Linked DNA regions of Rattus norvegicus. The protein of the gene in region 1 interacts with the protein of each later gene in a biochemical or structural test. Links are inferred from orthologs where the notes say so. Each region holds a gene or a part of one and is shown in the gene's direction. Other genes may lie near its edges.

What was found.
Region 2: the proteins of Trim7 (region 1) and Rnf187 interact in a test that uses a peptide from one of them, tested with the Homo sapiens proteins (2 studies listed by BioGRID, with this or other methods). The link is inferred for Rattus norvegicus from reciprocal best matches to the Homo sapiens genes TRIM7 and RNF187.

What each region holds. Positions count from the first base shown.
Region 1 is NC_086028.1:33,705,167-33,709,662, forward strand, and holds the start of Trim7 (E3 ubiquitin-protein ligase TRIM7), read left to right. Parts: upstream 1-1,447; 5' UTR 1,448-1,478; coding exon 1,479-1,997; intron 1,998-2,789; coding exon 2,790-2,885; intron 2,886-4,496. UniProt on the Homo sapiens protein: E3 ubiquitin-protein ligase that have both tumor-promoting and tumor-suppressing activities and functions in several biological processes including innate immunity, regulation of ferroptosis as well as cell proliferation and migration.
Region 2 is NC_086028.1:44,212,105-44,216,677, reverse strand, and holds the start of Rnf187 (E3 ubiquitin-protein ligase RNF187), read left to right. Parts: upstream 1-1,698; 5' UTR 1,699-1,775; coding exon 1,776-2,165; intron 2,166-3,326; coding exon 3,327-3,419; intron 3,420-4,573.

The sequences.
Region 1 (4,496 bases):
ATCGTTCCAATTTTAGTATATGTGCTGCTGAAGCGAGCACATAACACGAGGTCCTTGATGCCATTTCATTACTCTGAGTTCTTGGTGAACCAGAAGGGCCTTAGCTCCCCATCTACCGTTCCGTGCCTGCAATGTGGCATTCTTTAGTCCAGGGATTCACTTGTTTCTTCAACCGACTTAATGTTTTATCTTCAAAATAATTGTAGCTGAGTTTGCAGAAAATTTAACGTCCCATGGTGGAGGAGGAGAATCAAGCAAGAGCCATTACAAACAGGAGTCTTTCTGACACACAGGAATAGGAATATCAAGAAGACTCACAGGGTTGCATTGTGGTCAACACCAAAAGTCACAGGAGATGAGGACAGGGAGATGTGGGTAGGAGCTGGGTACAAAGAGCAGGCAGAGCCTTGAAGTTATTATTTCAATGTCTTTCCTGAGAGTTAGCAGCCACTGGTGGGGTCTGAACAGAGGGCTCTGATGGATACTGTGGAAAGATCAGCTCTGAAAGGGTTCTCTAAAGTCAAAAAGGTGGAAGCCATTATAGAATGTGGAGACTGAAGCCCAGGAACTGAAGCAGGGCAGGGAGCCGAGTGGGGAAACTATAGAACCTAAGAAGAAAGTGGGAGGCCATGGACTGGAGAGAAAGGGAGATTGTAGCATCCTGAGTGGGGAGGAGAAAATGCTGTGTGGAAGGACAGACACCAGAGAGATGAGGTCTGCAACTTTGGGTTAGAATTGGGTGCGTGGATGGTGACATTGACAAGAGAGGTTTTGAGAGGGGTAGAGGAGGAAGCTTGACCCTAGTGGCCTCCAGAAAGAAACGATAGAAAAACTACTCCGTGGAACCCAGCTGTGAGCCAGCAGGGGAGAGAGCCAGAGGGATTCCGGGTAGGTGTGGAACGACACTAAACGAAATGAGAAAAATGGCTGTATTACTTGTTCAAAATTAAAGGGAGAAGAACTGTAAGAGATGTAGTTACAAAAGTGGACAAAAGGCCAAGCTTAGGGTGAGGTGGTAGAGCCAAATTCCAGATCCTAAGTTTAGCTCAGCACAGTGCCAGAATGAGTTGGTATGCCGGAAACCAGACACCGCGCCCCGGGAGCCAGGCCTTTGCCCCTGTAGTGCAGGGTCAGCCTAGGTCGGCCACTGAGAGCGGTGCCCAACTGGTCTTGCACATTCACCTGTCTCCGACAGTTCCCTACTGCTGACTGGGCCATACTGGGCTGCCTCCAGAGGCAGTGGAAAGGGGGTCGACAAAAGGGAGATCGCGGACTAGGGTGATGGCTTTGGGAACCCAGAAAAAGGGCACCACCTGCCTCTATTCCCAGCTGGGTGCACCCTCGGCTCACGTCTCAACTTGCCCGCTGCCGGCCCTGCCCCTCCTCGCCCATTGGGTACTCGGAGCCCAGCCCAGCTTGGACCGTAGCATCCAGGGATCGCCCCAGCACCACAAGGCTCGGAAGTACCAAGGACACGGATGGCGACTGTGGGGCCGCGAACCGGGCCGAACTCAGGAGCGGAGGCTCTGGCGCTGGCGGCAGAGCTCCAAGGCGAGGCCACCTGCTCCATCTGCCTAGAGTTTTTCCGGGAACCGGTGTCGGTCGAGTGTGGCCACAGCTTCTGCCGCGCCTGCATCATGCGCTGCTGGGAGCGTCCGGGAGCTGGGACCGGCACGGTGACCCGCACGCTGCCCTGTCCACTGCCCTGCCCTCAGTGCCGCGAGCCCGCTCGCCCCAGCCAGCTGCGACCCAATAGGCAGCTGGCCGCGGTGGCCTCACTCCTCCGGCGCTTCAGCCTACCCCCCACGGTCCCCGGGGAGAGCGGGACCCCAGCGGTGGCTGCCCCGGCGGCGGCTGCGCGTTGTCCGCAGCACGGAGAGCAACTTAAGCTCTACTGCCAAGACGACGGGCGCGCCATTTGTGTGGTGTGCGACCGCGCCCGCGAGCACCGTTCGCACGCCGTGCTGCCGCTGGAGGAGGCAGTGCAGGAGGCCAAGGTGGGTGTAGGATGTCCCGGAGCTCTGGCTCTGCTCCAGCCCTCCCAGCTCTCCTTGCAGACTGCAGGCGGGGTCCTACAGAAGAGCCCCGTTCTCCTTTTTTCTCTTCCTAAACTGTGGTTTCCCCTCATCTCATCTCGTCCCTCAGAGCCTCATGCCTGGCTGCCTGGGAGACGTCCCCAGGGACTTGACATTTTCTGTCTGTCTCCAACCTCTGTGGTAACTCTGCCCAGGAGAAAGTCTCTGTCACGCCCACACATCCCTTCATTCCTGCAGCGTTCCCAGGGGCGTGGCACTACACAAAGTATTAAGCTCAAAGAGGAACATAGCGGGGTGTCTTGGATTAGGTGGTCTGTCGCAAGAGCTGTGAAGCCCGGGGGTTCTGGGCACTTTTGTCCCTCGCTGGGTAGAGGCACAAGAGGCGTGTGCAGCCCCCAGTCTTTGCTGTCCTGTCGTGCTCCAGTCCTCCTACAAGCATGCTTTCTGTTGCTTGAGAGAAGAGCTGAAGATAAGATGGACTGAAGCAATGTGGGAGTCTTGAGTTTGGGCGCAGATCACGTGGCTGATGCCCTTGAGGAAGCGAGACTCCTCCGGCCTTTGGAAATCTCCTGCATTTGCTCTGCACCGATAGGCTTAGTTTGCAAGGCTATGTTCATCCCACAGTCAGAGATGGTATCAATCCGGTCTCCTGCTCCGAGAGCAGAATCTTGGCTTTCTACTGGGCGGCTCTAAGAAGGTACATGATAGAGTACCCAGAATTTTCTGACCACCATGTCTTCCTTCATACCACAGGAGCTGCTGGATTCCAGGATGAAGGCCTTGAAGAAAGTACTGGAAGACTATGAAGCCTTCAGGTCAACAGAGGAGAGGGAGAGCAAGGAGCTTCTAGTGAGTCCAAGTGTGAAAGACATAGGTTGTGGATGCCCATGGCAGAGAGGGAGAGGGAGAGGGGAAGGGGGAAGAGAAGGGGAAGGGGAGAAGGAGGGGGATGCTCTCTGGGGGCCCATTTTCTAAGTCCTTCATATTCAAATAATCTTTAGGGTGCACAGTCATTCCTAACAAACCAGTTAGGACTTGTGGCCGCATCTTGTAATTGAATGCATTAGTATTTCTTCACAGAAACATGTCATGTTAAGTAGGAACACGATAAGGAACCACACATGAGCCTGAGGCATGTTTTGCCACAGAAAAAAAAAGGGGGCGGGGGTGGGGATGTTTTCTTTTCGGAGCTTTAATTTAAGAATTCGAGATTTGGGCCTGGAGAGAAGGTTCATCCGTTAAGAGCACTGACTGCTTTTCCATGGGTCCAAAGTTCAATTCCCAGCAACCACATGGTGGCTCACAATCATCTGTAATGGGATCCGATCCGATGTCCTCTTCTGGTGTGTCTGAAGGCAGCTACAGTGTTAGTATACATAAAGTTAAAGGAAAGGAAAAAAAAAAAATAGAGGTTCCTGGCTGGGCAGTGGTGGCACAGGCCTTTAATCCTAGTACATTGGAGGCGAGGCAGGCAGACCTCTGTGAGTTCCAGGCCAGCTTGGTCTTCAGAGTGAGCTCTAGGACAACCAACACTGCACAGAGAAACCCTTGGTGCTTAAAGGAGAAAACGCTGGTGCTGAGGAGGATCGGAGCTCTTCCTGGTAGAGGACTGTGGCTTGGGGACTTGTTTTGTTTACTATGGACAAACATGAATCACTGTCATTTTCTACCTCACAAATTCAGTTCTTAGCTCAATAAAAGGTGCTAGAAGAATGAAAGGAACCATTGGTGCCTTTTAAGGCAAAGTGATTTGTTTATGAAGCTGGGAATTAGAAAGCCTGGAGAACCGTCTTACTTTAAAAAAAAATCTATTTATTTGTGTTTCTATTGTTGGATGCATGTGCTGCTGTCTGCTTGTAAAGGTCTAAGGGCCATTTTGTGTCAGTTCCTGAACTCAAACTCGAGGTAAATTCTAGGGGTTGAACTGGGTTTATCCAACTAGCTTAAATCTATGGATTGAATTGCCAGACTTAGACCTGTTAAGGTATAGAAGCCCCAAACCCTTATTCTTTAGGTTGGGAAGGAGAAACTATGGAGCTCAGATACCCAAGCTCCTCTCTGGGCTCTTTGTGGTTGTTATTATTGGTGTTTGTCTGCTTGCTTGAGACAAGGTCTCTCTCTATAGTAAAGGACTTGCTACATAGACAAGGCTGGCCTCAAACCTACAGAGATCCACAAACCTCCTTAGTGCTGGATTGTGAGCCACCATGGCTGACTCTTCCCTTACTCTTTTCCATTTTTTTTTAAGGATAAATTTTATGTATAAGAATACACCGTAACAGGGCTGGGGATTTAGCTCAGTGGTAGAGTGCTTACCTAGGAAGCGCAAGGCCCTGGGTTCGGTCCCCAGCTCTGAAAGAAAAAAAAGAGCAAAAAAAAAAAAAAAAAAAAAAAAAAGAATACACCGTAACTATAGAATAGGGCATCAGAGACCATTACGGATGGTTGTGAGCCACCATG
Region 2 (4,573 bases), about 11 Mb from region 1:
TTGTCGAGGGTGTATAAAGCCCTGGGTTTGAGCACTAGACCTCAGTAACAATTTCAGAACCATGTTGGATATGGCCACGGTCAGTTAGATGAGTGTGAAAGTGACTAATTACAACTGATTTTTAATTTAATTAATTTAAGTTAATTAATATATGCACACATGTCATATCTGTTGAAGAGGTTGGCTCTAAACCCCCAAGGATACTACAATTTAAGAACACTCAAATCCCTCAGATAAAATGTTTCTCATACACACACCACATCACACAGACACATAAACATTCTCTCTCTCACACATACACACATACACATTCTCATACACACACACACACGCACACACACACACACACACATTCTCTCTTTCACACACACACACAGAGACACACAAACCCACACATTCTTTGGAGACAGGGTCTTGCTATATAGCTCTGGCTGGCCTGGAACTCACAGAGATTTGCCAGCTCTATTTCCTGAATGCTGTGATTAAAAACATGTACCATTATACCCAGCTAAAACATAATATTTACATGCATCCTTTTATTTAATTTTTCTAGATGACTTATGATGCTTACCAGGATGTGAATACTCTGCAAATCTTCGTCCTGTTGTTTAGGAAATAATGACCAGAAAAGTGCTGCATAGCTTCAGTGTAGATGTGGCCGCTGTCACAGTGTTTGGAACATATAAGTGGCAACGTCACTGGCTTAGGGTTTCATTACTGTGAAGAGACACTATGGGCAATGTAGCTCTTATAAAAGATATTATATCGGGGCTGGCTTACATGTTCAGAGGTTCAGTCCATTATCATCAAGGCAGGAAGCATGACAGCATCTAGACAGACATGGTGCTGGAGAAGGAGCTGAGAGTTCTACATCTTTGATCCAAGGCAGCCATAAGACTGTTTCCGAGGCAGTTGGGAGGAAGGTCTCAAAGCCCCATCCCCACAGTGCCACACTTCCTCCAACAAGACCACACCTCCTAATAGTACCAATCCCTGGGCCAAGCATATTCAAACCATTGCAATCACATTCACAGTATATTTTCCATCTCAATTTGAAGAGTCATAAATTGTGCATAGCTGACTACACCTACATTAATACAATATGCTTTAGCGTGCTTTCCTGCAAAATGTGCTGCTATTCTGTGTGCACATTGAGCATTCCTTCCTTCATTCTGTGTCGCTCGCTATGTTCTTTAATTTGGTCATACTCTTGCTTAAACTACATAGGCATCGGTCTACTTCTGTTTTATCTAGCTTCAGGGCTAAAGGTATAGAATAAGTCAATCACCCTAGAAAAGCCTTTCCTAACAGACCACCTCCCAAATTATCTGTGGGAGATGGGCAATTATCTATGATGTTGGGACAGTACTCTGCAGTATGAGTAATCTCACAGAACACAAGAGAGTATGCTTGTGAGGATCTGGGTTTGGAGTCCACGACTGACACCATCAGGACAAAGAGGTGAGCAGCTACCAGAACCAGGGTGGAAGACAGCGCAGCAGCTCAGACTTGGGCAGGGCCACGAGCGACTACCAGGATCTGAATGGAGAGAGCACAGCTGCCAGGACCTGGATGGAAGAACGCGCAACTGCCAGGACCTGGACGTCAGAGCGCACGGCAGCCAGGACCCCGCCCCGCCGCGCGCGCGTGCCCGGCGTTGGCGCAGTCTGGGGCTGAGTCGTCGGCTGAGGCTCGTCGGCCTTGCTCTCTGGCCGGTCCTCGGCCCTTCTGCGCCCTCTCTGCCCGCGTCCTCGTCGGCGCCGCCGCCCGCAGCCCTGGCGCTCCCCGCGGGCCCCGCTGAGGCCATCTGCGCCTTGTGTCAGCGCGCGCCCCGCGAACCGGTGCGCGCTGACTGCGGCCATCGTTTCTGCCGGGCGTGCGTGGTGCGCTTCTGGGCCGAGGAGGACGGGCCCTTCCCATGCCCCGAGTGTGCCGATGACTGCTGGCAGCGCGCGGTAGAGCCCAGCCGCCCACCACTGAGCCGCCGCCTCTTGGCGCTCGAGGAGGCGGCCGCGGCGCCGGCGCGCGATGGCCCTGCTAGCGAGGCCGCGTTGCAGCTGCTATGCCGTGCCGACGGAGATCCGCTGTGCTCTGCTTGCCGCATGGCCGCCGGTCCGGAGCCGCCTGAGTGGGAACCGCGTTGGAGGAAGGCGCTGCGTGGCAAGGTGCGCGAGGCGGCCCCGCACACTGTCAATCTTTGTGCCCTACCTGGAGTCAGTCTCTTGATCAGTGTGCTGACCTCCTCTTCCCTTTCTCCTCTCCCGCATCCCTCGGGTGCTCAGCACCCTCCGTTCCCCGGGGACGCTGCCATGCCTAGGACTCTTGAATCCTGGAGTCCGTGAATTCTCCCTTCCTCCATCTCTATTATCGGTCTCCCGGACCCTGCTGTTTTCCTCGATCTATTATCTCTAGAGCATGCTTTTCTATCCCCTTTTCATCCCAGGTCTGTGGGCTAGCTGTGCCTTATCTCTATACAACCATTAGACTTTGATCTTTCTCGATTCTTCTCAAGTCCCAATCCCATTCCTCAAGGCCTCTTCATCCAACCTGGGTGTGACCTCATCGGGGCAAGCCCCGCCCATCCACTTGCTTGTGGAGACCTGAGAGTGGGCTTCTATCTGCTAGTTACTATTTGCAGCCCTTTGAGGGGCTGTCGGTCCACCTCATTCTGGAACCTTCTCTGCTGTGCTCTCTTGGTCATTGCATGTGGTACCTGCCACTGGGCAGAAACCAGCCATTAGAATGTGTTTGAAGCTGGGTCGCAGGGATCTGGAGTATCATCACTGATCCAGAGAGGGATGATAACTCAAAAAAAACCCAAAGCCTTTCTGAGTATCGAGGTAGAAAAGCAGTGGTCCCTGTCGGACAGGAGGAACTAGTAGCTTAGTGTGTCTGAGGGTGCTGTTAGCCCTATGTTCTGGAATGATGCACCATGAGTCTATGGAATAGGTTGTGAAGAACACTTTTGAGATGGAGGCCAGTGTTAATCTCGGCCCCAGACTGGGGTAGGTCCTCTGGAGAACAGTTTGTTGTCTCCTTACTAAGACAGCAATCTCCACAGAGTCCAAGAAGGACACAGAGAAGTCAGGAAAGCCACTGTCTTAAATCAAGCCGACCCCAAAGGGGACCTACCTGAAAACCTGGAAGCATATAGGCAATCTTGAATTGTCTGCTGCACACCTAGTTCTGATGAGGCGGGAAGCACAGGAGACCTTTTTAGAAAGCAGCCATTTTCCAGCAGAGAGCGGGCGAGTAGTTCCGGTGGCCAGACTGCTGTTCTGGGTGTCCAAATCCTTCCCAGCCTCCAACCAGCTTCTCTCTCCCAGGAGAACAAGGGCTCTGTGGAAATCATGAGGAAGGACTTAAATGATGCCCGGGACCTGCATGGTCAGGCAGAATCCGCTGCTGCTGTGTGGAAGGTAAGTGGGCTCTCCTGGGTATTGGGAACTAGCAGGGCAACCAAACTGAGCTGCTGGGGTTTGCCTGGCTGGCTGGACAGAGTGACAGTAGGGAGCCTCTTTTCTGTGTGCTTTTCATAAGGATGATTTGTAAGGGTCAGCTTCCTGTTCTACACAGGACGTGTTCTCGAACTCTAGATTCTGACCAGCCCCAGCTGTTACCAGCAGAACATGCAGTTTTCTGGCTGTCACACAAAACCACAGGCAAGCCATCGAAAGTCCAAGTCAGGGCTAGTTTCCCGTGGCCTTTCTCGGTGTATTAGCACATGGAGAGTGGGGCAGGAGCTCTTTGAGGGTCCCCTTTACTAGGGCACTGATCCACATCTACTTTGGTGGGACTAACCACGTCCCAAAGGCCGACCACTTCACACATTAGCACCATGGCCTAGAGGTTTTAGCACAGAGCGTTAGGGAACAAACAAGGCTGATGCTCAGCAGCTGGCCTACATCGGCTGCCATCCATGGCATTGAACACGAGGACGACATGTTACAGTTGGTTTTTTAAGGTTACTTGTCGATAAAAACACACAGTTTAAACTCTGGCAACTTTTCCTTTTATATATTAAAGTTGATTATAGTTCCCCTCCCCCCATTCTTTTTTTTAACATAAAACCAAAGTGTTTTTGTGGACTACAAAAACCCCAAAGCTCTCAGATGGCCCTCACCTTAAGGCTAAAGGCACCTGCCCTACCCCTTAAAAAATAGGAAGGCATCGAGGACACCTAGTTTTGTAGGAGCCCACAGTAATTCCAAGGACAGATTCTAGCAGATAGAGGTTTTTAATACGAAGACGGGGATCCTGTAGTCAGAGGGAGGAGCTTGGCCAGACAGCAGTCATCTGGCTGGCATTTATATCCTTTCAGCAAAAGCATTCTTCCCTCAGGAACATGTTGTGAGGTCCAGGATCAGAGGAAGATCTGAGTGCGGTTAGGAGTGTCCTTTTCTAGTCCTGCTATCTAGGTTAGGCTGCTGGAATTGTAGCTGAGGGAGGCAGAATGGAGTTTTGCTCTCAGGTTTACCACAGGTTATAGTAGGAAGAATGGCTGGTTTAAGGTAGCGAGGTGTTCTGACAGGACTTTAGTCCCAGAGACCAGCTTTGGGAAGCTGTGAGTGGG